Anolis sagrei: one gene and its partners. The protein of the gene in region 1 purifies or fractionates together with the protein of each later gene. This does not show direct contact. Links are inferred from orthologs where the notes say so. Each region holds a gene or a part of one and is shown on either strand. Other genes may lie near its edges.

Region 1 (8,064 bases):
ACTACATATTAATTTTACTCTTTCAGCCATATAGTTGGTCCTCTATATCCACGGATTTTGCATCCATTTATTCAATCATCCACAGTTTGAAAATATCACACACACACACAATACAAAGTTTGATTTTCCATTTTAAATAAGGGACACAATTTTACTGCACCACTATATATAATGGGATTCCAGTTTCCATGTACTTTAGTATCCACAGGAGGTCCTGGAAGCAAAACTCAGCAGATAATAAGGGCTCTTCCACACTGCCTTATAACCCAGAATATCAAGGCAGAATAACCAACAGTATCTGCTTTAAACTGGAATATCTGGCTGCCCTTATGTCTGATTCAGAATGTAGCATGGCTACCAAACTAATTGAATGATTTTTCTGTCTGCTTTCAAAACACTACTCAAGACTATCTTACTTAGGGCCCTTCCACACAGCCCTATATCCCAGAATATCAAGGCAGAAAATCCCACAATATCTGCTTTGAACTGGGTTATCTGAGTCCACACTCAGATAATGTGGGATTTTCTGGTTTGATATTGTGGGATATAGGGCTGTGTGGAAGGACCCTTAGATGACTGTCTTTTATTAAAAACAGGCTGCCAACCTTTATCATTGTCAAAAGATTCATTATTTGCCATTCTAACTACTACTTTACTTCTTACTTAGGTGATCCCTCGTTGTCTGAGTAGGATTGTCTCCCAAGATCGGTGTACTGGTGGCAGGTCCATAGGTGACTGTGGAGCCCTATTCTCAACCTGCATGTTGTCCCACAGTTAGGGCATTGGTTTCCAGGTGGAAGGCGGTCCCAGTCGGAGTTGGCTTGACACTCCTTCTTCTTGGCATATTTCTCTCTTTCGCCTTCCATTTGTGCCTCTTCAAATTCTACAGCACTGCTGGTCACAGCTGACCTCCAGCTGGAGCGCTCAAGGACCAGGGCTTCCCAGTTCTTAGTGTCTATACCAGAGTTTTTAAGGTTGGCTTTGAGCCCATCTTTAAATCTCTTTTCCTGCCCACCAAGATTCTGCTTTCCATTCTTGAGTTCAGAGTAGAGCAACTGCTTTGGGAGAAGGTAGTCGGGCATCCGGACAACGTGGACGGTCCAGCAGAGCTGATGGCAGAGGACCATCGCTTCAATGCTGGTGGTCTTTGCTTCTTCCAGCACGCTGACATTTGTCCGCTTGTCTTCCCAGGAGATTTGCAGGATTTTCCAGAGGCAGCGCTGATGGAATCGTTCTAGGAGTTGCATGTGACGTCTGTAGATAGTCCATGTCTCGCGGGTGTATAGCAGAGTTAGGAGGACAATAGCTTTATAAAAAAGCACCTTGGTCTTCCTATGGATGTCCCAGTCCTCAAACACTCTCTGCTTCATTCAGAAAAATGCGGCACTCGCAGAGCTCAGGCGGTGTTGTATTTCAGTGTTGATGTTGACTTTTTGGAGAGGTGACTGCCAAGATAGTGGAAATGGTCAACATTTTCTAATGTTGCACCATTAAAATGTATTTCTGGCATTGGAGAGGGATATTTATTTATTTATTTTTATATTCCGCCCTTCTCACCCTGAAGGGGACTCAGGGCGGAGCACAGCAAACATATATACTGCAGACATTCAATGCCGGGACACAAATTCTTATATACATACATAAACATTAAAAACATTTATCAAAATATTAAAATACACCATTTAAAACCGTCTGAGTCATTCACATCAAATCTAATCGGCCTGGTAATGCTTTATTGCCCTGTCCCGAAAACTTGGTCCCACAGCCAAGTTTTAACCATCTTTCTAAAGGACAGGAGGAAGGGGTGCGACCTGATCTCACCAGGAGGGGAGTTCCATAGCTGGGGAGCAATCACCGAGAAGGCCCTGTCTCTCGTCCCCACCAATCGTGCCTGTGACAATGGTGGGGCGGAAAGCAGGGCCTCCCTGGAGGATCTTAATCTCCGCGATGGTTCATAGGGAGAGATGCGTTTGGACAGGTAATGTTTAGGGCTTTATAGGCCAAATATTGAATTGTGCCCAGTAGCAAACTGGCAGCCAGTGGAGCTGGCGTAACATGGGAGTTGTATGCTGGTGCCTGCTGGAAGAGCACTTTGGTTTTCTTGATGTTCAATGACAGGCCGAGCTTCTCATATACTTCTGCGAAGTGGCTTGTAGATCTTCTTCTGAATGCGCATAGATTATTATTATTATTATTAAACTTTATTTGTACCCCGCTAGCATCTCCCGAAGGACTCGATACGGCTTACAAAGGCCAAGGGCTCAACAACAACAACAAACAATAACAATACAATGCAAGTAAATTAAAAACATAAGCAATAACAAAAACAAAACATTACATTATTACGCAGTAAAACCAGGGCCGGGCCAATGAAGGGTACAGGTTAAAAAGTGCTGGGTATAAGAGGTGATATGTTGGGATTCTGGGCAAGTGCAATGTGCAGAGAGTCTTAAGCTCTAATAAAGTGCTTTCGGGATGTAGTGCTGAAGGTTATCCTATTCTGGAAAGGCACATCGGAATAACCAGGTCTTCAAGTTCTTCCTAAAGACTGCCAACGTAGGTGCTAGTGTAATGTCTTTGGGGAGGGTGTTCCAAAGTGGGGCCAACCACAGAGAAGGCCCTGTCCCTCGTCCCCATCCTCCCAACATCCATGAAGTTTTGGAAATGTGAAAACTATTTTAATAGTCTTCCAAAAGCTATGACATGGCTGCTAATCATAAATGCGGCTCTAGGCTGTTTAAATGTCCCAAACTATTCTAGAAGTGGGCTCATGATCATGATCCTCTTTGCAAACAATTCAGGCACTTGCTCCACTTGGGTCCCTTCCAGACAGCTGCATAAAATCCCACATTACCTGCTTTATACAGATCCCAAAGCATGATACCCCAAATAGAGCAAGCAATCGAATGAAAAGTAGTGAGATGCCCTCTTACCTGCAAAGGATCTGCCTGCCCATGCCTTTCCCCAGGATGTGGGTCGGATCCCTCCCTCCCGGCCAAAGAACATCAACAGGAAGGAGGGAGATGGAGCTTCCAGCATGTGGTGCGCCGTAGAGCTATTTCCATTAGAGTGAACACACCTTCTGTGCCTAGGCTTCACCAGGGAAACATAGAGCTAGAAATTATAGATCACCGCTTTTCTTTCCTTTCGCTTTACCCATAACATCTTTCCTATCTATGACCCCTTCTACTCTGCCACGGGAAATCTAGATTATATCCTTCCAACTACTTTATATGGCAGTGTAGACTCAGGAACCTTCCACACAGCCATATAATTCAGAATATCAAGGCAGATGATACACAATTGAACTGGGTTATCTGAATCCACACTGCCCTATAATCCAGTTCAAAGCAGATAAAGTGGGATTTTCTGTCTTGATATTCTGAGTAATTTGGCAGTATGGAATCAGGACCCTGCCACACATCCCTATAATCCAGAATATCAAGGCAGATGATACACAATTGAACTGGGTTATCTGAGTCCACACTACCATATAATCCAGTTCAAAGCAGATAAAGTGGGATTTTCTGTCTTGATATTCTGAGTAATTTGGCAGTATGGACTCAGGACCCTGCCACACATCCCTATAATCCAGAATATCAAGGCAGATGATACACAATTGAACTGGGTTATCTGAGTCCACACTACCATATAATCCAGTTCAAAGCAGGTAAAGTGGGATTTTCTGTCTTGATATTCTGAGTAATTTGGCAGTATGGACTCAGGACCCATCCACACAGACCTGTAACCCAGAATATCAAGGCAGATAATCCACAATATCTGCTTTGAATTGGGTTATCTGAGTCCACACTGCCATATAATCCATTTCAAAGCAGATAATGTGGATTATATGATTTGATAATCTGGATTCTATGGCAGTATTGAAGGAACCTGAAGCTCAGGACTTTAAAAGTAAATTAAACTATGGATTGTGAGGAAAGGGACTGAGGCCCCTTCTACACAGCTGTATAAAATCCAGATTATCTGATTTGAACTGGATTATAAATCAGTATAGACTCTGGACCCATCTATACTGCCATATAAAATCCACATCTGCTTTGAATTGGATTATATGGTAGTGTAGACTAAGATAATCTAGTTCCAAGCAGATAATGAGGATTTTCTGCTTTGATAATCTAGATTTTCTGCCAGTGTAGAAGGGGCCTCTGATCCCTTCCAGACAGCCCCTATATCCCAGGTTTTATGCTTATCCCAGATTATCTGGCAGTACGAACTCATATAATCCAGTTTAAAGCAGATAACCTGGGATTAGATCCTCGGATATAGGGTCTGTCTGGAAAGGCCCTCAGATAATCCAGTTCAAATAAGATAATGTGAATTATCTGGGTTTTATGGCAGTGTAGAAGGGCCCTGAAACAATTTTGAAACAGTACATCGCAATGCTATTTTGTGCGTGCTATTTTGTGTTCATTATCCACACAATAGTTTGTGACAATCTCATCTGGAAAGGACTGTAGTAAACAGAACTGAGGAAGGCCCCTTCTACACTGCCATTTAATCCAGATTATAAAAGCCGATAATCCACATTATTGGTTTTGAACTGGATTATATGAGTCAACATTGTCATATAATCCAGTTCAAAGCAGATAATCTGGATTTTATATGGCACTGTAGAGGAGGCTGATGATGCAAAGGCAAAAATGTATGTGTTGGGACTGATTATCTTCCTCACACACAAAAGCTTGAGATATTGAAGAACTGATGTTAGCAAAACATAGTAAAGAACAGCTGAGGACAGAAGTTGCAAAACAAACAGTGTGGAGAACATAAATATTTAATTACCGTAGCTTTCTTCAGTCCCTGCGGCTTAGGTGTATCTATACTATAGATATAATGCACTTTGGCATCACTTTGCCATGGCTCAATGGGATGGAATCCTGGGAGTTGTTGTTTTGCAAGTTCTTTAGCATTCTCTCGCAAGGAAAGCTGGAGGCTACCAAACCTAAAATCCCAGGGTTCTGTAGTATTGAGTTGTGGAAGTTAAAGTGGTGTCAAACTGAATTACTTTTATGCATGTACAAGAGGTTGCAGTAGTTTTCTTTTATTTATTCCACACAGCTGAATAAAATCCCACAGTATCTGCTTTGAACTAAAATATGACAGTGTGGACTCAGATAATCCTGTTCAAAGCAGATATCGTGTGATTTTCTGCCTTTATATTCTGGGTTATATGGCTGTGTGGAAGGGCCCTAACTCCATACTGCCAAATAATCTAGTTCAATGTGGATTTTATACACCTGTGTGGAAGAGGCCATAGAAACTCAAACATCCAGCTGAATTGACCCTTGAACACACTACAAATAGACACACTTCAGATTTAAGAGCTGAAAAGTAAACATGCAAATTCCATGCATTATACCTAATCAAAGACTTGCTTTTTGAGAAACATTGCCAGATGACGCTCTTAGACAAATAATGGGTTATTTCAATTCTTTTGGTTCATAGTGGAAAGAACTGTTTGTAGCACTCACCAAGAAGCTGTTGTTTTGCTGAGCTGCACAAAAATATGCTAACTTTCCACTCCCTAAAAGCATCTGTACTCTCAACTATTGCACAATTGGCAAATATGGAAGAGGGCATCTTTTTTTGCATGACAATACTACCATCTTAGCAAATTTGTTTCCTGTCATGTTTCTGTCAAAAGAAAAAGGACCTAACCAGAAGCAAAAGTGTCCAGAAGTCGATGGCTTCAGATATGGTGTGGCTTCTGTTGTTCAGAAAGTGTATTGCACAGCTGAGTTTCAGGCTGGAAAGACACTGCTCTATATCCCAGGATCTAATTCCAGATGGGGCAATGCTGACAGGGGATAGGAAAAAAAGCAGAACTACTTAATGCCTTCTTTGCCTCGGTCTTCTCACAAAAAGAGTCATCTTCAACCTCAGCAAGATGGAGTGGATGAGGGATTGGAGGACATCCAACCCCAAATTGGGAAACAAGTCGTCCAGGAATACCTGGCCGCTCTAAATGAGTTCAAGTCCCCAGGGCCAGATCAACTACACCCAAGAGTGCTGAAGGAACTAGCGCAACGTTTCTCAACCTGCGGGTCGGGACCCCTTGGGATGTTGTGAGGGGGTGTCAGAGGGGTCTCCAAAGACCATCAGAAAACACAGTATTTACCGTTTGTTCTGGGGGTTCTATGTGGGAAGTTTGGTCCAATTGGTGGGGTTTAGAATGTTCTTTGATTGTAGGCAAACTATAAATCCCAGCCACTACAACTCCCAAATGTCAAGGTCTATTGTTCCCAAACTCCACCAGTGTTCACATTAGGGCAAATAGAGTATCCGTGCCAAGTTTGGTCCAGATCCATTATTGTTTGAGTCCACAGTGCTCTCTGGGTGTAGGTGAACTACATCTCCAAAACTCAAGGTCAATGCCCATGAAACCCTTCCAGTATTTTCTGTTGGCCATAGGAATCCTGTATGTCAAGGATTCCCAGAACGCTATTTGATTGAAGGTTAACTATAAATCCCAGCAACTACAACTCCCAAATGACAAAATCAATCCCCCCCTCAAACCCCTACCAGTATTCACATTTGGGCGTATTGGGTATTTGTGCCAAATTTGGTCCAGTGAATGAAGACACATCCTGCATGTCAGATATTTACACGATGATTCGTAACGGTAGCAAAATGACAGTTATGAAGTAGCAACGAAATTACTGTTATGGTTGGTGGTCACTGCAACATGGGGAAATGGATTAAGGGATCGCGGCATGAGGAAAGTTGAGAACCACTGAACTAGCGGAAGTAATCTCGGAACCATTGGCAACCATCTTTGAGAGTTCTTGGAGAACGGGAGAAGTTCCAGCAGATTGGAGGAGGGTCAATGTGGTCCCAATCTTCAAGAAGGGAAAAAAGGATGACCCAAACAACTACCGTCCGGTCAGCCTCACGTCGATACCGGGCAAGATTCTGGAAAAGATTGTTAAGGAAGTGGTCTGCAAACACTTAGAAACAAATGCGGTCATCGCTAATAGTCAACATGGATTTATCAAAAACAAGTAATGCCAGACTAATCTGATCTCTTTTTTCGATAGAGTTACAAGCTGGGTAGATGCGGGGAATGCCGTGGATGTAGCGTACCTGGTGTAAAGAAGCGCTAATCCCACTAGATGCCACCAAAATTATGTGAGGAAGCGTTAATCTTCTTTAATGCCACCAATATTCTGTGAAGAACCTTCTTTTAGATATCAATTAAGCTGCCACCAATATGTTTAGAGACGCTGGTTTATGTCTCTGTTTATCTTTAGTTGTGTTGTGAGGTGACTTTGGTAGTGTGGAATGCACCAAGCATAAAAGCAATGGAGGAGGCAGGTTTGAAATACAAAGAGAACAAGTTTTATTGTTAACAGAACGTAATTGTTGCAGTTTTGAGAATTTGAACTTGGCACAAGGCTTGATGTTACAAAATGGCTGGTTTGAGATACATTCAGGCTTCTGATGTTACAATTCTACAAACTCCTTCTTTAGTGAAGTGCTTATACTACTTCAGAGTTCCCTATTGTGAATATCCACACTGTTTGCCCTATACTCGGAACAAACCACTGATCACCAGTCTTTCCTTACTGGCGATCCTTTAAACCCCCTCTGTTAGATTCTTTTAACCTAAGCAATCTAACAAGGTAACACCTTCAGCTCTCTTGCTGAAGAAATATTCACAAATTCTAAGAACTGCTGAATTCTCACAGCTTCACAACCCAGAGCCCTAACTGACTCTGAACCTCTTCCCCGGGTCTCATCCACCGGACTAAACTACTTTTCCCAGAGTCCTTTCTTGACTCTGCTATTTCCCAGAGCCCTTAACTGGCTCTGCTCTTCTCCTCAGGGTCTCTTCCTCCTGACTCCATATTAACTGACGCTTTCAAACCTTTTATTCCTTAAACTCCGCCCACCTCCTCTGAGGCTTTGTTACTATGGCAACCTATCTCTTACAGTTAGGCCATAGCAACTAATGTAAACCCTAAATACAGTTTAAACACAGTACATTAAACACTCTATAATAAACATTTCTCTACACCTGGATTTCAGTAAGGCCTTCTACAA
Region 2 (7,530 bases), on another chromosome or scaffold:
CATAAGTCAGAGAGTCACAAAAAGGAAACAGGAACCCAGTTATGTGCGCTGGGTCAGGCAGCAACAGAATCCATTGTCCGGCCCTTGGGGAACTACAACTCTCACAAAAGGGCAGAAGTCCCAAGATCCAGCCATTTCCCAAAAAGCCTCGTGGGGTCCTTGTTGTTGTCAGTGCCTTGGCAATGTGGTCAAGACTTAACCCTTGTTGTGTAGTCTGGTGACCTTGCCCTTTGCAGAACTATAAGTTCTTATCCCTTAATTCTGAAAGGGGGGGGGGGGTGCCTGACATCATCACCAAAGATAATCAGAAAACACAGTATTTTCTGTTGGTCATGGGGGTTCTTTGTGGGACGTTTGGCCCAATTCTATTGTTGGTGGAGTTCAGAATGCTCTTTGGTTGTAGGGGAACTAAAAATCCCAGGAATCACGACTTCCAAATTCCACCACTGTTCACATTTGGGCATATTGCGTACCCATGCCAAGTTTGGTCCAGATCCATCATTGTTTGAATCCACAGTGCTCTCTGGATGTAGGTGAACTACAATGTCCACCAAACCCTTCCAGTATTTTCTTTTGGCCATGGGAGTTCTGTGTGCCAAGTTTGGTTCAGTTCCATCTTTGGTGCATTTCAGAATGCTCTTTAATTGGAGGTGAACTATAAATCTCAGCAAACTGTAACTCCCAAATGACAATATGAATATCTCCCCCCCCCCCCCCAACAGTATTCAGATTTGGGAGTATCGAGTATTTGTGCAAAATCTGGTCCAGTGAATGAAAATACATCCTGTGTATCAGATATTTACATTACAATTGATACCAGTAGCAAAATTATAGTTATGAAGTAGCAACGAAAATAATTTGATGGTTGGGGGTCACCAAAACATGAGGAACTGTATTAAGGGGTCACAGCATTGGGAAGGTTGAGAAACACTGATATTTGCTGAATTTCAGATTGCTCTTTAATTGTAGGTGAACTATAAATCCCAGCAACTACAACTCCCAAATGTCAAGGCCTATTTTCCCCAGATTCCACCAGTGTTCACATTTGGGTGTATTGAGCATTGGTGCCAAGTTTGGTCCAGATCCATCATTGTTTGAGTCCACACTGCTCTCTGGATGTAGGTGAACTACAACTTCCAAACTCAAGGTCAATGCCCACCAAACCCTTCCAGTGTTTTCTGTTGGTGATGGGAGTTCTGTGTGCCAAATTTGGTTCATTTCCATCTTGGTGGAGTTCAGAATGTTCTTTGGTTGTAGGTGAACTATAAATCCCAGCAATTACAACTCCCAAATGTCAAGGTATATTTTCTCCAAACTCCACCAGTGTTCACATTTGGGCATATGGAGTATTCATGCCAAGTTTGGTCCAGATCCACCATTGTTTGAGTCCACACTGCTCTCTGGATGTAGGTGAACTACAACTCCCAAACTCAAGGTCAATGCCCACCAAACCCTTCCAGTATTTTCTGTTGGTGATGGGAGTTCTGTGTGCCAAGTTTAGGTCAATTCCATCATTGATGGCGTTCAGAATGCTCTTTGATTGTAGGTGAACTATACATCCCAGCAACTACAGCTCCCAAATGGCAAAATCAATCCCTCCCACCCACCCTACCAGTATTCAGATTTGGGCTTATTGGGTATTTGGGCCAAATTTAGTCCAGTGAATCGAAATGCATCCTGCAGATCAGATATTTACATTACGACGAATAACAGGAGCAAAATTAGAGTTATGAGGTAGCAACGAAAATAATGTTCTGGTTGGGGGTCACCACCCACGTGAGGAAGTGTGTTAGGGGGTCACGGCATTGGGAAGGCTGAGAACGGCTGTGCTAGGGGGTCAATACACACTCGAAAGTGCTGGTTCTCATTCGTGCACATTTTGCAGTTTGAGTTAGCACACCTTGTGCATCGGCCCCCTTGGCCAGCTCCCGTCTGGAGCAATGCCTTGGCTGAATGCATTGGACACTACGGAAGTGCTCAAGAGACGGCGTTGGGCTCCTTCCCTTGCAAGGGCCCTCAAGCAAGGCAGGCATCTGAGCAGAGGCACATCTTGCTCGTTAATAAATAACACGACTAATGTACAGCTGGTGTCTTCAAATACAATGTACTCCCAAATTATATTGGACAGAAATGGAAGTGAGGCCACGCCAGGAAGACTAGCCACGCCAGGACAACGCCCACCATCACTCCAGGAGGACAACAGCTGTCTAGACTCACAGCCATGGGGCTACCTGCAAGCCAATGTCTAGAATCATAGAATCAAAGAGTTGGAAGAGACCTCATGGGCCATCCAGTCCAACCCCATTCTGCCAAGAAGCAGGAATATTGCATTCAAATCACCCCTGACAAATGGCCATCCAGCTTCTGCTTAAAAGCTTCCAAAGAAGGAGCCTCCACCACACTCCAGGGCAGAGAGTTCCACTGCTGAACGGCTCTCACAGTCAGGAAGTTCTTCCTAATGTTCAGATGGAATCTCCTCTCTTGTAGTTTGAAGCCATTGTTCCATTGCGTCCTCGTCTCCAGGGAAGCAGAAAACAAGCTTGCTCCCTCCTCCCCCCTGTGGCTTCCTCTCACATAATTATACATGGCTATCATATCTCCTCTCAGCCTTCTCTTCTTCAGGCTGAACATGCCCAGTTCCCTAAGCCGCTCCTCATAGGGCTTGTTCTCCAGACCCTTGATCTGTTCCCTCTTCCCTGTGGCTACCTCTCACATATTTGTACATGGCTATCATATCTCCTCTCAGCCTTCTCTTCTTCAGGCTAAACATGCCCAGTTCCCTAAGCCGCTCCTCATAGGGCTTGTTCTCCAGACCCTTGATCATTTTAGTCGCTCTCTTCAGGACACATTCCAGCTTAGAGTCAATATCTCTCTTGAATTGTGGTGCCCAGAATTGGACACAATATTCCAGATGTGGTCTAACCAAAGCAGAGGGGTAGCATTACTTCCTCTAACTCAGGCCCAGGCCACCTTCAGCCCTCCCTCCCTCCGGGTGTTTTGGACTTCAACTCCTACAATTCCCAACAGCCTACCAGCTCTTAGGAACTGTGAGAGTTGGAGTCCGAAACCTCTTTGCGCCTAGGAGGACAAACCCTGTCGCTGTCTCCACGCCTTCTCCCTCTATTTGCCAGTTCTTGATTTAAATGAAAACTAAATGGATCGGTACAGCAGACCGTGGGGAGAAGACAGAGGATATGGTCAGCTAGCCCCACATGGGATGATGCAGTTGCTCAAAGCCAAAAAAATAACTGGGTGGCCATCTGTCAGAGGTGCTTTAAATGTGCAGGGCAGAAGGGGGCTGGACTAGGTGGCCTTTAAAGATCTCTTCCAACACTATTATTATTATTATTATTATTATTAGAAACATAAAATGACTCCACAGCAGACACTCATTATTATGATTATGATTATTATTTGAAATACAATAAGATGAGTCCACAGTATACTATTATTATTATTATTATTATTATTATTATTATTATTGAGGCTGGATTGCCATCTTTCAGGGGTGCTTTGATGGTGCTTCCCCTGCATGAAGGCAGAATGGGGTTGGACTAGATAGCCTTTGAATGTCTCTCCCAACTCTATTATTATTATTATTATTATTATTATTATTATTATTGAGGCTGGCTGGCCACCTGTTGGGAGTGCTTTGATGGTGCTTTCCCTGCAAGGCAGAAGCGGATTGGACTAGATGGCCCTTAAATGTCTTTTCCAACTCTATTATTATTATTATTATTGAGGGTGGATGGCCATCTTTCAGGGGTGCTTTGATGGTGCTTCCCCTGCAGGAGGCTGGACTAGATGGCCTTGAAATGTCTCTCCCAACTCTATTATTATTAGTAGCAGCAGTAGTAGTGTTGAGGCTGGGAGGCCATCCGTCGGGGGTGCTTTGATGGTGCTTTCCCTGCATGAAGGCAGAAAGAAGGGGGCTGGGCTGGCTGGCCTTTGGGGGTCTCTCCCACTCTTTCCCTCTGATCCTGCGCTGAGGGCCCTTCCTTCTCTCTCTTTGGGAGATTCCGGGGAAGAAGGGGCCCTCCCTCCTGAGGCCAGGCATCCCTCTTCCCTCACTTCCGGTCCCTCCGCGCTGCTCCTCCTCCTCATTGGGCGGCACGCTTCCTCGTAGTCTTTGATTGGAGGAAGCCACGGCTACGCCACGCCCACTCATCCACGGGAGCCAATGGGAGGCCGGCAGGGAGCGGGGGAAGAGCGCCTATTGAGGGCGGGACGCCTAGCGGAGCTGCAAGGGTGTTGCCGGAAGTTGGAGGCCCTCACGTGACGCGCGGGCCCCTTGGCTGTGGAGATGGTGCGTTGCCAGGGCGACCGGGAGGGGAGGGACTGGCCCCCCTGGCCCCCCTCTTCCTGTGCTCATCCGGGTCTCTCTCTCTCTCCCTCGGGCAGGCTTCCTCTGCGGCGGCGGCGGCGGCGCTGACCCAAGGGCTGGAGCGCGTCCCCGACCAGACCGGGTACCTCGTCATCTGCGACGGAGCCGTCCTGGCCGTGAGCAAAGGGGGCGGGGCCTGCGGGAGGAGGGGCGGGGATTAAGAAAAGAGAAGATTGAGAGGGGGCGGAGTCTGGGAGAGAAGGGGCGGGGCCTGCGAGAGGGGGCGGGGTCTGGGTGAGAAGAGGCGGGGGCTGCGAGAGGGGGCGGGGTCTGGGATTGAAGGGGCGGGGATTAAGAAAAGAAATTTGAGAGGGGGCGGAGTCTGGGAGAGAAGGGGCGAGGCCTGCGGGAGGAGGGCGGGGTCTGGGAAAGAGGGGGCGGGGCCTTGAAGAGGAGGGGCGGGGATTAAGAAGCGGAAGCAAACATTGAGAGGGGGCGGAATCTGTCTGAGAAGGGGCGGGGCCTGCGAGAGGAGGGCGGAGTCTGGGATTGAAGGGGCGGGGAATAAGAAAAGAGAAGATTGAGAGGGGGCGGAGTCTGGGAGAGAAGGGGCGGGGCCTGCGGGAGGAGGGCGGGGTCTGGGAGAGGAGGGGCGGGGATTAAGAAGTGGAAGCAAACATTGAGGGGGCGGAGTCTGGCTGAGAATGGGCGGGGCCTGCGAGAGGAGGGCGGAGTCTGGGATTGAAGGGGCGGGGATTAAGAAAAGAGAAGATTGAGAGGGGGCGGAGTCTGGGAGAGAAGGGGCGGGGCCTGCGGGAGGAGGGCGGGGTCTGGAAAAGAGGGGCGGGGCCTGGGAGAGGAGGGGCGGGGATTAAGAAGTGGAAGCAAACATTGAGAGGGGGCGGAGTCTGGCTGAGAAGGGGCGGGGCCTGCGAGAGGAGGGCGGAGTCTGGGATTGAAGGGGCGGGGATTAAGAAAAGAGAAGAATGAGGGGGTGGGGTCTGTGAGAGAAGGGGCGGGATTTGTATAGGAGGGCGGGGCCTCAGAGGGGGCCTGGGAGGGAGGAGCGAGATATAGGAGGGCGGGGCCAGAGGTGGAGGGGGCGGGGCCTGAAAGAGGAGGGGCGGGGCCTAGTTGGAGATCAACAGGGGCAGGCTGGGCTTGGGTTAGCTGTGTGTTTTCCTGGCACTGTGTGGACAATGTCACCCGGCAGCACTCTCTCCTGACGTTTCGCCTCCATGTCTGGCTCCTGGCTTATTCATAATCACTTACAGCATTATTGTGATGGCACGCCGGGGTAAAAGGAAAACTCTATGTCTGGCTATTCCCGGTGGATATTGGTATACCCTCTGATGTACTTTAGTTCTTTAAAATATTTTATTTATTTATTTATGTATTTATTTATGGCATTTCTATGCCGCCCTCCTCACCCCGAAGGGGACTCAGAGCGGCTTACAAGGTTTATATTACATGCAATATATTATATAATTAGCATAGTACAATATCAGCATTAAACATTGCTATATTGCACCATACCACCATATTGTAATATTATTAGTAGTATTACATGTAATATAAATATATAATAATAATAATAATAATAATATATTATTATTATTATTATTATTATTGCATGACATTATAATATTATAAATATTCTATGTATATCCAATATATTATATTATTAGCCTGACACAGGAGACTAGATGGGGCTGTCTTCCTGGGCCCCTCTCTTCTATTTTAAATCTTTTAATTGTGTATTGTGGATTGTTATGGGGTCAAATTGCTTCCAAAAGGTGGGGCATAAGCAAACCTAACTGATCATAATGGTAATTCTCCTCCTCCCTGGTTGACCCTCTCCTTCTCCCTTTTGCAGTCTGCGGGCGACCTGGAGAATGACGAGCGCACGGCGGCGGCCCTCTCGGAGCTGGCCAGCACCGCCTGCGCCTTCCGCCTGCCCCGCTCCACGGAAGTTCCCTTCCGACGCATCTCAGGTGAGAGCAGAGGGAGGGGAGGCCTTCTCTGCGGACCCCCCCCCCCCCCAATTCCATGTAGTGCTGGAGGTCAGTGTGGGGCTGTTGTGTTGTGTATCAGCCTTACTCCTGCAGGATTCTGGGAAATGCAGTCAACAGCAGAGTCTTTGGGATTCTGAGCCAAGCAGGTCCCACCTCTCCTGAACTACATTTCCCAGAATTCTGCTGCAGGTTGATGCTGTGATGCATGACTGGAGTACCTCTCCCCTCCCAACCTTGTGGCTGCCTTTCCACCTCCTGCAGAGTGCTGGGATTTGTAGTTTGTAGTTTCTGGCCTGTGTATTTATGCCCCCCCCAATATTCCATTTACTGCTGGAGGTCAGTGTGGGCTTGGTGTGTTGTGTATCAGCCTTACTCCCGCAGGATTCTGGGAAATGTAGTCAACAGCAGAGTCTTTGGGATTCTGACCCAAGCAGGTCCCACCTCTCCTGAACTACTTTTCCCAGAATTCTGCTGCAGGTTGATGCTGTGATGCATGACTGGGGCACCTCTCCCCTCCCAACCTTGTGGCTGCCTTTCCAACTCCTGCAGAGCGCTGGGATTTGTAGTTTGTAGTTTCTGGCCTGTGTATTTATTTGTTTATGACCTTTCTTTGCCGCCCTTCTCACCCCCAAGGGGACTCAGAGCAGCTTATATATCTATCTATCTATCTATCTATATCTATCTCTATCTATCTATCTATCTATCTATCTATATATATATTAGGGCTGGGCGTTTCGTTTCGTAATTCGTTAAAAATCCGTTAATTTTTTGTTAACGAAGCGATAACGAACCATTCTGGAGCAACTTAAAAACGAAACGAATTTTTCAATTTGTTTCGTAAATGCTTCGTATTTCGTTATGTATTTGTTTCGTTATTGGTTTGAGATCGTTTCGTTATTATTTCCGCATGTCTGGGGCAAGTTTTATGGTTGTTTTTTGTTTAATTAGTGAAAAAAAATTATAATATCACACCAACAGTCAACAACAGAGGGAGAGGGAAGCTTCAGAAGTTTTTTCTGAAGTTTTTTAGCGTTTTGCGCGATCGCGGCCGCCATTAACGAATCGATTCGTTATTGTTTCGTTATTGTTTTGTAAATTTTTTACCATTTACGAAATTTCGCAAATACCGAACTTTTTTTAAGGAAAATTTTGTAATTATTTTAAATAACAAAACGCAAAACCCCCCAAAAA
Region 3 (7,653 bases), on another chromosome or scaffold:
GTTCTGGAGGCAATTTTTCTCCTGACGTTTCGCCTGCATCTATGGCAAGCATCCTCAGAGGTAATCATCTATTACTATTGCCCTGCTTTCAAGAACATTATTATTATTGTCCTGCTTTCGAGAACCTTGTTGTTAATATTATTATTATCTTGCTTTCAAGAACCTTATTATTATTACTATTATTCTTATGCAGATTCAAGAACCTTATTATTATTATTATTATTATTATTATTATCATCCTGCTTCAAGAATATTATTATGATGATGTTTGTATTTGATTGTGTTTATATTATTGTAATTGTGATGGTAGCGGCCTTGTTTATGTACACATACAATATAATAATGTAATAGTAATATAATAATATAATAATATACTTCTTCCCTTGCAAATATGTACAGTAATATAATAATAATAATGTAATACTTCCCTTCTACATACATAATACAATAATGCAATAGTAATAGTAATATAATAATAAAATACTAATATACTACTTCCCTTGTACCTAAATAATATAATAATGTAATAGTAATATAATTATATAATAATGATATACTACTTCCCTTGCTAATATGTACAGTACTATAATAGTAATACTAATATACTACTTCCCTTGTACATATATAATATGATAATGTAATAGTAATATAATAATATAATAATAATATACTACTTCCCTTGAGAATACGTACAGTAATATAATAATGTATAATAAAATAAAATTCAGAGACGGGGTACAAATACTAGAAATAAATAATAATAATTATTTGCTTTTGAGTATTTTTATTATGATACTGTTTTTGAGAACCATATTATTATTACCCTGCATATGAGATCATTATTATTAATAATAATAATAATAATAATAATAATAATAATCTGGTTGCTCCTGACAAGATAAATAAAAAAATATTATTATTATTATTATTATTATTATTATTATTATTATTATTATCCTGTTTCTGAGAACCTTATTATTATCATCATCCTGCTTTTGAGAAATGCATTGTTATTGTTATCATCCTGCTTCTGAGACCCTTATTATTGCTATTATTATTATTATTATTGCTATTATGATTCTGAGGAGTCATGCCCCGGCGTGCGCACCATGCAGTCCATGAGGATGAAGCGGAGGTGGTCCTCGTTGAAGGCCTGGTGGCCGTTCTTGTCGTAAGCGGCCCAGATGTTGCTGGCAATGGCTGCCGTCACCCGCGCGTCCGTGTCCCCGTACCCCGAGTACGCCAGCAGCGAGCCCTCGTTGTTCAGCAGCCTGGGAACAATAATCAGAATAATAATAGCATCACAATAATAACTGCAATAATAATAATAACAACATATAGTACTATATAGTAATATATACTACTTATATTTTGTTATGATAATAATATACTATCTTGTATGTACAAATAACTTGTAAGCCGCTCTGAGTCCAATCAGGGTGAGAAGGGCGGGACATAAATGTTGTAAATAAATTAATATAATACTTCCCTTTTACATATATTGTATGATATAATAATGTGATAGTAATAGTAATATAATATTATAATAATCATATACTACTTTCCTTGTGAATATATACCATAATATAATAATACCAATGCAATTCTTCCCTTGTACACATATAATATAATAATAGTAAATAATATAATAACAATACTAATATAATAATATGTTTCCCTTGTGAATATATACAGTAATGTAATATTTCCCTTGTACACATACAATATAATAATGTAATAGCAATAGTAATGTAATAATAATATACTACTTCCCTTGCAAATATATGCCATAATGTAATAATAATAATAATAATAATAATGTAATTCTCCCCATGTACATATATAATATAATAACAATACTAATGTTTCCCTTGTGAATATATACAGTAATATAATAATACTAATAATAATAATGTAATATTTCCCTTGTACACATACAATATAATAACGTAATAGTAATATAATAATAATATACTACTTCCCTTGCGAATATATACCGTAATATAATAATAATAATAATAATACTGTAATTCTTCCCTTTTACATATATAATATAATAATAGTAAATAATATAATAACAATAATAATATAATAATATCATCTTTCCTTTGTGAATATATACAGTAATATAATAATAATAATGTAATAGTAATATAATAGTAATATAATAATATACTACTTCCTTGCAAATATATACAGTAATATAATAATAATAATGTAATAGTAATATAATAGTAATATAATAATATACTACTTCCTTGCAAATATATACAGTAATATAATAATAATAATGTAATAGTAATATAATAGTAATATAATAATATACTACTTCCTTGCAAATATATACAGTAATATAATAATAATAATGTAATAGTAATATAATAGTAATATAATAATATACTACTTCCTTGCAAATATATACAGTAATATAATAATAATAATAATAATAATGTAATACTTCCCTTGTACACATACAATATAATAATGTCATAGCAATAGTAATATAATAATAATATACTACTTCCCTTGCGAATATATACCGCAATATAATAATAATAATAATAATACTGTAATTCTTCCCTTTTACATATATAATATAATAATGTAATAGTAATAATAAAATACTAATATACTCCTCCCCTTGCAAATATACAATATAATAATAGTAAATAATATAATAGCAATACTATTATAATAATATGTTTCCCTTGTGGATAGATACAGTCAAGTGATCCTAACTTTGGCCCCCAAGAAGCCCAAGAGGAGGAGGAGGGTGACAAGGCAGAGGGGATTCTGGGAGATGTAGTCCAAGCCACACCGGAAGTGGGGGCTGGCTCCTTCACTCCCACTCTTATTAGTATTATTATGATGATAGAAGGGAAGGATTCTATTATTATTATTATTATTATTATTATTATTATTATTATGACTATTATGACTCTTGTTGTGAGGACTAGGCCTCTGCGAATGGAGGGAGAGGCGTTCCTAGAGAGGCCGGAAGTGAGGCCTAGCTAATCGAGGGAGACACTCACAGGGTGCTCTGCACGCCGCCGGTGTTGGCCTGGCTCAGGACCTGCGTGAGCGCCTTCGGGCGAAGCATCGCTCTCGGAAGGAGAAGGAGGAGAACCCGGAGGAGGAAGAGGAGGAGAAGGCCAGGCCTTGGAGTCCCCTCTCCACACGGACACTTCCGGCAGGCAGCACTTCCGCTCCGCTCTAGCCCGCGCGTCTCTTTTTCTCTCCCATATAGACAATGGAGGGTAGACGAGGCGAGGGGCCTAGAGCGGCACCTGAACTGCCTGGCCGCCACTGTTGCCCTCCTTAGAGTCTCCCCTCCACACCCACACTTCCGGCAGGCAGCACTTCCGCTCCGCTCTAGCCCGCGCGCCTCTCTCTCTTATCTATATAGATACACAAATGGGGGGAAGACGAGGGGTGAGGCCTAGAGCGGCACCTGAAGGGCCGGGCTTTGAGATCTCTATGGTTCGGCTGTCTTCTTCCCTCCCTCCCTCCCTCACAATCCCGCGAGGCACGCCGGGAAATGGAGTCTCCTCTCCACAAGGACACTTCCGGCAGGCAGGCACTTCCGCTCCGCTCTAGCCCGCCCGTCTCTTTTCCTCTCCCATATAGACAATGGAGGGTAGACGAGGCGAGGGGCCTAGAGCAGGACCTGAACTGCATGGCCGCCGCTGTCGCCCTCCTTAGAGTCTCCCCTCCACACCCACACTTCTGGTAGGCAGCACTTCCGCTCCGCTCTAGCCCGCGCGCCTCTCTCTCTTATCTACATAGATACACAATGGAGGGAAGACGAGGGGTGAGGCCTAGAGCGGTACCTGAAGGGCCGGGCTTTGAGATCTCTATGGTTTGGCTGTCTTCTTCCCTCCCTCCCTCACAATCCCGCGGGGCACGCCGGGAAATGGAGTCTCCTCTCCAGACGGACACTTCCGGCAGGCAACACTTCCGCTCCGCTCTAGCCCGCCCGTCTCTTTTCCTCTCCCTCATATAGACAATGGAGAGAAGACGAGGAGCGGGGCCTAGAGCGGCACCTGAACTGCCTGGCTTTATTCCTCCCTGATTTTCACCACCTCCTGTCAGAAGCCTATGAGACTGTGAACCACCGCTGCCTCCTCCTGAGAAAAATGTATAGTATCACAAAGGACGACCACCTCACCCGCCTCATAGGAAACCTGCTACAAAACAGGAGCTTCTTTGTTGAGTTCCAGGGCCAGAGAAGCAGATGGCGGAAACAGAAGAACGGCCTGCCTCAGGGGAGCGAGTCGCTCCATCCATGTTCAGCATCTACACAAATGACCAGCCACTGCCAGAAGGGACAGAGAGTTTCATCTATGCTGATGATCGTGCCATCACCGCTCAAGCAGGGAGCTTTGAGATGGTTGAACAGAAGCTCTCCGAAGCCTTAGCTCAGTGTTTCCCAACCTTCCTAATGCCTCTTAATACAGTTCCTCGTGTTCAACATCTACACAAATGACCAGCCACTCCCAGAAGGGACAGAGAGATTCATCTATGCTGACGATCGTGCCATCACCACTCAAGGAAATCAGCTACCGAACAGGAGCTTTTTTGTTGAGTTCCATGGCCAGAGGAGCAGGTGGCGGAAACAGAAGAACGGCCTGCCTCAGGGGAGCGTGCTTGCCCCATCCATGTTCAACATCTACACAAATGACCAGCCACTGCCAGAAGGGAGAGAGAGTTTCATCTATGCTGATGATCGTGCCATCACCACTCAAGCAGGGAGCTTTGTAATGGTTGAACAGAAGCTCTCCGAAGATTTAGGTCAGTGTTTCTCAACCTTCCTAATGCCTCTTAATACAGTTCCTCGTGTTTAACATTGACACAAATGATCAGCCACTGCCAGAAGGGACAGAGAGTTTGATATACGCTGACGATCATGCCATCACCGCTCAAACAGGGAGCTTTGTAATGGTTGAACAGAAGCTCTCCAAAGCTTTAAGTGCTCTTACTGTCTATTACAGGGAAAATTGACTGATTTCTATTCCATATAAAATGCAGAGAAGAACATAGAATATAAAAAAGGACTTCATAGGAAATCTGCTACAAAACAGGAGCTTTTTTGTTGAGTTCCAGGGCCAGAGAAGCAGATGGCAGAAACTGAAGAACGGCCTGCTCCCATGCATGTTTAACATTGACACAAATGACCAGCCACTGCCAGAAGGGACAGAGAGTTTAATATACGCTGACGATCATGCCATCACTGCCCAAGCAGGGAGCTTTGCAATGATTGAACAGAAGCTCTCGGACTTCTCAGTCTTCTTATTGCCTCTAAATACAGTTCCTCATGTTTAACATTTACACAAATGACCAGCCACTGCCAGAAGGGATGGAGAGTTTCATCTATGCTGACGATCGTGCCACCACCGCCCAAGCAGGGAGCTTTGAGATGGTTGAACAGAAGCTCTCAGAAGCTTTAGGTGCTCTTACTGCCTATTAGGTGTAAATAGCCTCTGTATCTCTCTCTATATATGTTGTGTGGCATCGAAGATGTGCCATGTATACGTGCATTGTGATCTGCCCTGAGTCCCCTGCGGGGTGAGAAAGGCGGAATATAAATACTGTAAATAAATAAATAAATAAATAAATATTTATTCTGACACATTTGGTCTAGAACCCTCCCCCAAGTAAAGGGTAAGAAGCAACGGACGCCACTTGGCTGCTTTCTCATGCTGGTATTGTGTCCTCATTTCTCCTCGGCCACGTCGTAGACCACCAGGTTAAAGGCTCCGATGCTGCTGCCGCTGCGGCTCCGCTGACCCCGCTGGCACCCGGGGACCGTGCAGGTGCTGTGGCGCGAGGAGAGGTCGGCCTTGAGGTTGCGCACCAGCGTCACCTGCTTGACCAGCTCCTGCTCCATCTGGGAGAAGCTCTGGCAGAGACGGCACTCCAGGGTCTCTTCGCCGGACAGACAGCCCTCCTGGACACGGGGGCAAAGAGGGCACTCAGTTGGGGGCCCAGGTGGGATTGCAACACCCGTAGAGAAGGACTTGGGGGCCCAGGTGAACCACAGAGAAATAGGGCTGTGAAGGGGACGGTTACAAGCAAAGTTCCATCTGACAGTTGCTTTCCTTCTCAACCCATATATCTCTATATGGGTTGAGAAGGAAAGCAACTGTCAGATGGAACTTTGCTTGTAACCGTACTACTTCCTGAATTGTAGCTCGCTGTAGTAAGACGTGTCTGTGGAATGTGCTTAGTAAACTTAGTTTCTTTTGTAACTCAAAGCCTGCGGAGTCCTGATTTTGCAACTCAGTGTCTGCTGATCTAGCCTTCCTTCCGCTGGGCAACGTCTGAACTCTGACATACCCTGCCTCGAGCGGCAAGGAAAGGCAAGATGATGAGGATAGTCCTCATCTGCAGAGAAGAAATTACCTCAAAGACAGTCTGGAAAGGCTTTATTTCTCAAAGCATACAGTACGGTTACAAGCACCATCGTTAGGGCTCGTAAAGTTCAGACTAAAACCCGGTGCGGATACCCCAGGAGGAGGGAGGGAGGCCACCCAGGAATCACCTTTGCTTTGTTGGCCCCTTCGGCGAGGATCCTGTCCCGCAGCCACTTGACACCCAAAGCCAAGAGGAAGACCACAGCGAAGATCACGACCACGTTCCCCCAGCTCAGCCCGGCAGCGGAGTTGTCCGGCTTGTCCACTATGTGTCGGGCGGCCCAAGCAGGCCGGCAGAAGAACCACAGGAGCCCACACCACGGCAGGCCCTGCATGGCAAAGGCCCGATCGGGGCCCGACTGCCACAGATCAAGACTTTTATGTGATGTCATAAAAGGAAAACATGGCCGGAGTCCCGTTGCGTGGAATTCCATAGCAACTGGTGCAGCTTAGAGTCAATCAATCAATCAATCAATCAATGTCACATTTCCATGTTTCTGAACTGCTAGGTTGGCAGAAGCTGGGGCTAACAGCAGGAGCTCACCCCACTCGCTGGATTCGAGCCGCCTACGTTTTGGTCAGCAAGTTCAGCAGCTCAGCAGTTTAACCCGCTGCGCTACTGGGCGGCCTAATAATAATAATAATAAGTCTAGATGTCATCGGGATTTGTGAAAATATTATTGAACAGCTAGGCTGGCAGAAGCTGGGGCTAACAGTGGGAGCTCACCCCACTCGCTGGATTCGAGCCGCCTACATTTTGGTCAGCATGTTCAGCAGCTCAGCAGTTTAAGCGTCCACACGGTGGAATTAACCCAGTTTGAAACCACTTTAAAGCTAGTGGCACGATCCTCGGAAGCCTATGAACAAACTCGGTGCATGAATTTCTAATATTAATTATGAATGTTAATTAATGTTAAATGTGTGTTTGGGTTGAAGAGAAGGATTTGCATGCGTGTTTTGCAAAAGAGAAACCATTGAAAGATCCCAAAATAATAATAATAATAATATTAATAAGATATTAAATCAAAAATTCAAGGAAGATATTACATTAAAAGCCTGCTGTTTGGGTAGGAAAGAAATGTGTGTGTGTGTGTGTGTGTGTGTGTGTGTGTGTATATATATATATATATATTCATTCATTCATTCATTCTTCTTTCCACACTGGACAGTTATACCACTTTGATTCCGGTTTAACTTCCAATTGGGATTGGTTGTCTTTGGATGGTTCAGAATGGTGATT
Region 4 (7,535 bases), on another chromosome or scaffold:
TGCAAGGATGTTGCCCAGGGGACGCCGGGATGTTTTGATGTTTTACCATCCTTGTGGAAAGCATCTCTCAGGTCCCCACATGGGGAGCTGGAACTGACAAAGTGAGCTCATCCGCGCTCTCCCTGGAATCGAACCTCCAGCCTGTCTGTCTCCAATCCTGCTGGCTCAAGGGTATAACCTATTGCGCCACTGTGAGCTCATAGCAGCCACCCACTGCATGGCTGTCAGCCTCCTCCCAGTAGACTCAAGTCAAGGAAAACCTTCATGAGATCCAAGACTCTTTTTGACGTTCCCCCAGCAACAGCAAGGGTCTCCTTCTGGGCAGCTCAACCAGGAAATACCAACTGGATGGCCCCCCAAGAGGGAGGGTCTTCCTCCAGGGGCAAACCAAGAATGGGCCACTTGGAAATCCCTGAACAAACTCAGAAGCGGAGTGAGCAGATCAAAAGACAACCTGGCTAAATGGCACCACCTAAAAGAAACCCACACCTTATGTGACTGTGGAGCAGAACAGACAACTCCGCATCTGTATGCTTGTCCGCTGTGCCCTGCCTCATGTACAGAGGAAGAATTGTTGGAGGCTACAGACAATGTCGTTGCTGTTGCCCGTTTTTGGTCAAAAGATATTTAGCTGCCTGTGCTCCTTCTATTTTTATCAGATTTATACTGGTCGCACTGCCAGAAGGGACAGAGTTTCATCTATGCTGATGATCATGCCATCACTGCTCAAGCAGGGAGCTTTGAGATGGTAGAACAGAAGCTCTCCGAAGCTCTAGATGCTCTTACTGCCTATTACAGGGAAAACCAGCTGATCCCTAATCCATCTAAAACACAGACATGTGCCTTTCACCTTAAGAACAGACAAGCATCCCGAGCTCTGAGGATGACCTGAGAAGGAAGGAATCCCACTGGAGCATTGCAGCGCACCCAAATACCTGGGAGTCACTCTGGACTGTGCTCTCACCTGCAAGAAGCACTGCCTGAACATCAAGCAAAAAGTGGGTGCTAGAAACAATACCATACGAAAGCTGACTGGCACAACCTGGGGATCACAAGCAGATACAGTGAAGACATCTGCCCTTGCGCTGTGCTCCTCTGCTGCTGAGTATGCATGCCCAGTGTGGAACACATCTCACCACGCTAAAACAGTGGATGTGGCTCTTAATGAGACATGCCGCATTATCACAGGGTGTCTGCGCCCTACACCACTGGAGAAATTACACTGTTTAGCCAGTATTGCACCACCTGACATCCGCCGGGAAGTAGCAGCCAATAGTGAAAGGACCAAGGCAGAGACATCTCCAGCTCATCCCCTGTTTGGGTATCAGCTAGCATGTCAGCGACTTAAATCTAGAAATAGTTTTCTAAGATCTACAGAGACACTTGCTGGAACACCCCAGCAAGTGAGAGTCCAAAAGTGGCAGGCTCAAACCCAGAACCTGATATCAAATGAGAGACTCCCCCCTGGGCACACAGTGGACTGGACGACTTGGAAGGAGCTGAACAGACTGCATTCTGGCACCACGAGATGCAGAGCCAACCTTAAGAAATGGGGCCACAAAGTGGAATCCACGACATGCGAGTGCGGAGAAGAGCAAACCAGAGACCACCTGCTGCAATGCACCCTGAGCCCTGCCACTTGCACAATGGAGGACCTCCTTGCGGCAACACCAGAGGCACTCCAAGAAGCCAGATACTGGTCAAAGGACATTTAATCCACTACCAAACTGGCAAACTTTGTGTCTTTTGTATGTTTGTTTGTTTGTTCTGTCAAAAATGTAATACAAACTGTCTGGCTGCTCCTGACACGATAGATAAATAAATAAATAAATAAATAAAGTAGTCTATTCGGGATGTAACGAGAGAGTGGACCACCGTGGAGCAGAACAGACAACTCTGCATCTGTATACTTATCCATTGTGTCCTGCTTCATGTACAGAGGAAAAATTGTTGGAGGCTACAGACAATGCTGTTGCCCGTTTTTGTTCAAAAGATATTTAGCCACTTGCGCTCCTTCTATTTTTATGGGTTTTATACTAATTTATGCAATACTTTTGATCTATATAAATAAAAATGTAATGTTCGTTTGTGGGATTAACAGAACTCAAAAACCACTGGGCGAATTGACACCAGATTTGGACACAAGACACGTAATAGTCCAATCTATGTCCTTCACTAAAAAAAATTGATTTTGTCATTAGGGAGTTGTAGTTGCTGGGATTTATAGTTCACCTACAATCAAAGACCATTCTGAACTCAACCAATGATGGAATTGGGTCAAACTTGGCACACAGGACTCCCATGACCAACAGAAAACACTAGAAGGGTTTCGTGGGCGTTGATGTTGAGTTTGGGAGTTGTAGTTCGCCTACATCCAGAGAGCACTGTGGACACAAACAATGATGTTGAGTTGGGGAGTTGTAGTTCACCTACATCAAGAGATCATTGTGGATTCAAATAATGATGGATCTGGACCAAACTTGGCATGAATACTCAATATGCCCAACTGTGAACACGTGTGGAATTTGGGGGAAATAGAATCTTGACATTTGGGTGTTGTAGTTGCTGGGATTTATAGTTCACCTACAATCAAAGACCATTCTGAACTCAACCAATGATGGAATTGAACCAAACTTGGCACACAGGACTCCCATGACCAACAGAAAACACTAGAAGGGTTTGGTGGGCATTGATATTGAGCTTGGGAGTTGTAGTTCACCTACATCCAGAGATCATTGTGGACTCAAACAGTGATGGATCTGGACCAAACTTGGCATGGCTATTCAATATGCCCAAATGTGAACACTAGTGGAGTTTGGGGGAAATGGAATCTTGACATTTGGGAGTTGTAGTTGCTAGGATTGATAGTTCACCTAGAATCACAGAGCATTCTGAACCCCACCAACGATAGAATTGGGCCAAACCTCCCACACAGAACCCTCATGACCACCAAAGTGGGCCCACAGCAAACCCCAAAAGGCCCAGGTTTGTCCCTCTGGGTTTGGTCTTGATGACCTTTAGGGGCCCCTCCCTTTCCCCCCATTCTTTGGGCCCAGACCTGGTCCGAGGCCTCGTTCTCGCTGCTGTAGCAACAGCCCATGGTGGCAGCGGTTGCGGAGGACGACGAGGAGGCCGAAGAAGCCGCCCACCGGCCCGCCGACGGACCCTCTGCCGCTGCTCCCCTCGCAGTGCTTCCTTTTTCACTTTCCCCCTCACTTCCGCCCTCACTTCCGGTCACGTGAAGGCAACTCTAGACTCTGTCAACATCCGGGGACTCTGGCAATGCTGGGGAGGGTGGGGCTGGCTCACGTGATCATCCCAAAGGGAGGCCGGGCTCTGAGCTCACGCGCTAGCCAATCCGCTCTCAGTCTGAAGGGGACGCATGCGCATTGCGTACGGCGGAGCGGAAATTTCCATTCCTGCCCTGCCTTTTCTCGCAGGAGGCGATCACGTGATGTGTTTGGGGTTTTTTTTTCTTGCGAAACACTGGCTGCGCATGCGCAATAGGCTTAGTTTAGTTTTTCCTCCCTTCCCTTTTTCTTTCTTTCTTTCCTTCAGTTTCAAAGCCATATCCCTCTTCTAATTGCTCGCACTCATATAATTGCTGCCATAATTGCCTTGTAACTTTATTATATATTATATTTATATTATATTTATTATAATATTATATTTACTATTAATATTATATTATATATTGTTATTAATATATTATAGTATACTTTATTAATTATATATTTTTATATTATATATTATATACTAGTTTGGGTAACTATATATTATATTATTTCCTGAAGCGATAAAAGTCAGTTTCAAAGCCATATCCCTCTTATAATTGCTCGCACTCATATAATTGCTGCCATAATTGCCTTATAGCTTTATTATATATTATATTTATTATTATATTATATATATTATTTATATATATTGTTATTAATATATTATTTTAGTATACATTATAAATTATATATTATTTTATTATATATTATATACTAGTTTGGGTAACTATATTATATCTATTATTATATTATAATTTTAGTATACATTATTAATGATATTTTATTATACATTCTATATTAGTTTGGGTAACTATTATATCTATTATATTATATCTATAATATATCTATTATAGAGTTTGGGTAATTATATTATCATATATATATATATATATATACTCTATAATGTATTATACAGTGATGGTTTTGGACGATTTGGATCTTTTAACTGTGATGATAATGTTTTAATGTGTCTGGTGCTGATATTTGGAATATTGTGTCCAATTCTGGGCACCACAATTCAAGAGAGATATTGACAAGCTGGAATGTGTCCAGAGGAGGGCGACTAAAATGATCAAGGGTCTGGAGAACAAGCCCTATGAGGAGCGGCTTAAGGAGCTGGGCATGTTTAGCCTGAAGAAGAGAAGGCTGAGAGGAGACGTGATAGCCATGTATAAATATGTGAGAGGAAGACACAGGGAGGAGGAGGGAGCAAGCTTATTTTCTGCTTCCCTGGAGATTAGGACGCAATGGAACAATGGCTTCAAACCACAAGAGAGGAGATTCCATCTGAACATGAGAAAGAACTTCCTGACTGAGGGGACCAGCAGGCTTCTTTCCATGGCTCCACACAGCAACGATATTCATTCCGGGCTCCGGGGTCAGACTGCATGCCCTTTGGGTGCCCCTTCCCACAAATTTGGGCTCTGGGATATGACTGCTTGCGCTTTGGGTGCCCCTTCCCACAAATTTGGGCTCTGGGGTACGACTGCTTGCACTTTGGGTGCCCCTTCCCACAAATCTAGACTCCAGGGTCAGACTGCATGCCCTTTGGGTGCCTCTTCCCACAAATTTGGGCTCTGGGGTACGACTGCATGCCCTTTGGGTGTCCCTTCCCACAAATTTGGGCTCTGGGGTATGACTGCATGCCTTTTGGGTGTCCCTTCCCACAAATCTGCACTCGAGTCAGACTGCATGCTCTTTGGGTGCCCCTTCCCACAAATCCGGGCTCTGGAATGAGACTGCATGCCCTTTGGATGCCCCTTCCCACAGATTTGAGCTCTGGGGTACGACTGCATGCCCTTTGGATGCGCCTTTTTACAAATATGGGCTCCTGGGTCAGACTGCATGCCCTTTGGGTGCCCCTTCCCACAAATTTGGGCTCTGGGGTACGACTGCAAGCCTTTTGGATGCGCCTTTTTACAAATATGGGCTCTGGGGTCAGACTGCATGCCTTTTGGGTGACCCTTCCCACAAAGCAGGACTCTGGAGTCGAACTACATACCCTTTGTCTGCCCCTTTCCTACAAATCTGGGCTCTGGGGTCAGACTGCATGCCCTTTGGGTGCCCCTTCCCACAAATTTGGGCTCTGGGGTACGACTGCAAGCCCTTTGGATGCGCCTTTTTACAAATATGGGCTCTGGGGTCAGACTGCATGCCTTTTGGGTGACCCTTCCCACAAAGCAGGACTCTGGAGTCGAACTACATACCCTTTGTCTGCCCCTTTCCTACAAATCTGGGCTCTGGGGTCAGACTGCATGCCCTTTGGGGGCCCCTTCCCACAAATTTGGGCTTTGGGGTACGACTACATGCCCTTTGGGTTCCGCTTCCCACAAATCTAGGCTCTAGGGTCAGACTGCATGCCCTTTGGGTGCCTCGTCCCACAAATCTGGGCTCTGGGGTCAGACTGCATGCCCTTTGGGTGCCTCTTCCCACAAATTTGAGCTCTGGGGTACGATTGCATGCCCTTTGGGTGCCCCTTCCTACAAATCTGGGCTCCGGGGTCAGTCTGCATGCCCTTTGAGTGCTCCTTCCCACAAACCTGGGCTCTGGGGTCAGACTGCATGCCCTTTGAATGCTCCTTCCCACAAAGCCGGACTCTGGGGCCAGACTACATGGCCTCAACCCATTTCTTGAGCTTCTTAAAGTCCTAGTCTCAACCTTTTCTTCATTGGCCAAACTTTCCCTGGAATAGCCCTGTGTCCAGTTGGAGTCCTCATAATTCCAGGTAGGGATTGAGGTCATATAGCCTGACCCCTAAGCAGATGGGCAGACTAAGGCAATTCCCAGCCTCTTTGTCCTTTCCAGCCCTTTCTTTTCTCCTCCTCTTCCTTTTTATCCTTCCCACATTCCCATTGTTTTGGAAGGAGAAGGCTTATTGCAGCCCTCCTCATTGCAAGCCTCCCCTTTTATGACCCTGCTGCCCCTCCCTTTTTGGGGGGGGGCTTCCTGTCCTTTAAAGGGACCACCCATTTCCTTCTTTCCTTCCTTCCTCCTTTTTAGGTTTCCCTGCTTTTCTTCTTCCTTCTTGGACCATCCAGAAGCAGGGTTTGTGAAACTGTTTTTTGCTTAATAGGTGAAGCTTAGTCTTTAGGGGTCTTGGGGAGGTGGGGACCCCCCAAATGGGGAGCAACCAGGATGGGTTGAGAGAGGGTTTCTGGTTTGCTCCAAAGAGAAAGTCTTTGCATGCAAAGAGCAGAGTTTCCAAGGCTTTGCTTTTTAGGAAAGGGGGGGGGCATGAAGGATTGGGGTTCAAGCCCCCCCCCCATTGTGGGGAAGGGGCCTTGCAACTGGACCCATCCCCAAACACACAGCAGGTATATCAAGGGTGCATCTGCACTGCAAAATTAATTCAGTTTGTTTGACCCTACTTTAGCAATGGTGTGGAAACCTGGGAGTTGTATTTACTACCAGAAGTCTTTGGCAGAGAAAAACCTGGGAACTGTATCAGTTTTTGGCAAAGAATTTTGGCAAGGCCTTGCAAAACTATAACTCCCTTGACAATAAGTCATGGAAGTTTAAAGTGGTGCCAAACTGCATCCATTATGCACCAGATACTGTGCTATCTTGGGAAGTTGTAATTTGGTGCACTCATTGCAGAAATGCCAAGAGACCTTGCAAAACTACAACTCCCATGATCCCATAACATTGAGCCACGGCAGTTTAAAATGGTACCAAACTGCATCCATTATGCACCCAATACTGTGATATCTTGGGAAGCTGTAGTTTGATGCACTAATTCACAGATAGGCCAAGAGACCTTGCAAAGCTACAACTCCCATGACTTCAGGAAGTTGTAGTTTGGTGCATTCTTTGGCAGAAATGCGAAGGGACCTTGCAAAACTACAACTCCTATGACTTAATAACATTGAGCCATGGCAGTTTAAAGTGGCACCAAACTGCATCCATTATGCACCCAATACTGTGATATCTTGGGAAGTTGTAGTTTGATGGACTCGTTGGCAGGTATGCCAAGAGACCTTGCAAAACTACAACTCCCATGATCCCACAACATTGAGCCATGGCAATTTAAAGTGGCACCAAACTGCATCCATTATGCACCGGATACTGTGATACCTTGGGAAGTTGTAGTTTGATGCACTCATTGGTAGATATGCCAAAAGACCTTGCAAAATTACAACTCCCATGATCCCATAACATCGAACCATGGCAGCTTAAAGTGGCACCAAACTGCATCCATTATGCACCCGATACTGTGATATCTTGGGAAGTTGTAGTTTGATGCACTCATAGGCAGAAATG

Evidence for each region.
Region 2: the proteins of SLC38A9 (region 1) and LAMTOR4 purify together in Homo sapiens (affinity purification with mass spectrometry; 4 studies listed by BioGRID and IntAct, with this or other methods). This does not show direct contact. The link is inferred for Anolis sagrei from reciprocal best matches to the Homo sapiens genes SLC38A9 and LAMTOR4.
Region 3: the proteins of SLC38A9 (region 1) and LAMTOR2 purify together in Homo sapiens (co-immunoprecipitation; 5 studies listed by BioGRID and IntAct, with this or other methods). This does not show direct contact. The link is inferred for Anolis sagrei from reciprocal best matches to the Homo sapiens genes SLC38A9 and LAMTOR2.
Region 4: the proteins of SLC38A9 (region 1) and LAMTOR1 purify together in Homo sapiens (co-immunoprecipitation; 5 studies listed by BioGRID and IntAct, with this or other methods). This does not show direct contact. The link is inferred for Anolis sagrei from reciprocal best matches to the Homo sapiens genes SLC38A9 and LAMTOR1.

What each region holds. Positions count from the first base shown.
Region 1 is NC_090022.1:272,439,140-272,447,203, reverse strand, and holds the start of SLC38A9 (neutral amino acid transporter 9), read right to left. Parts: upstream 3,050-8,064; 5' UTR 2,934-3,049; intron 1-2,933.
Region 2 is NC_090026.1:581,018-588,547, forward strand, and holds the start of LAMTOR4 (ragulator complex protein LAMTOR4), read left to right. Parts: upstream 1-4,207; 5' UTR 4,208-4,303; coding exon 4,304-4,306; intron 4,307-4,401; coding exon 4,402-4,500; intron 4,501-6,200; coding exon 6,201-6,318; intron 6,319-7,530. UniProt on the Homo sapiens protein: As part of the Ragulator complex it is involved in amino acid sensing and activation of mTORC1, a signaling complex promoting cell growth in response to growth factors, energy levels, and amino acids.
Region 3 is NC_090032.1:22,562,087-22,569,739, reverse strand, and holds the start of LAMTOR2 (ragulator complex protein LAMTOR2), read right to left. Parts: upstream 3,192-7,653; 5' UTR 3,101-3,191; coding exon 3,033-3,100; intron 1,272-3,032; coding exon 1,109-1,271; intron 1-1,108. UniProt on the Homo sapiens protein: As part of the Ragulator complex it is involved in amino acid sensing and activation of mTORC1, a signaling complex promoting cell growth in response to growth factors, energy levels, and amino acids.
Region 4 is NC_090023.1:4,770,517-4,778,051, reverse strand, and holds the start of LAMTOR1 (ragulator complex protein LAMTOR1), read right to left. Parts: upstream 3,260-7,535; 5' UTR 3,101-3,259; coding exon 3,059-3,100; intron 1-3,058. Other genes in the region: secreted frizzled-related protein 2-like, read left to right, coding at 6,184-6,320. UniProt on the Homo sapiens protein: Key component of the Ragulator complex, a multiprotein complex involved in amino acid sensing and activation of mTORC1, a signaling complex promoting cell growth in response to growth factors, energy levels, and amino acids.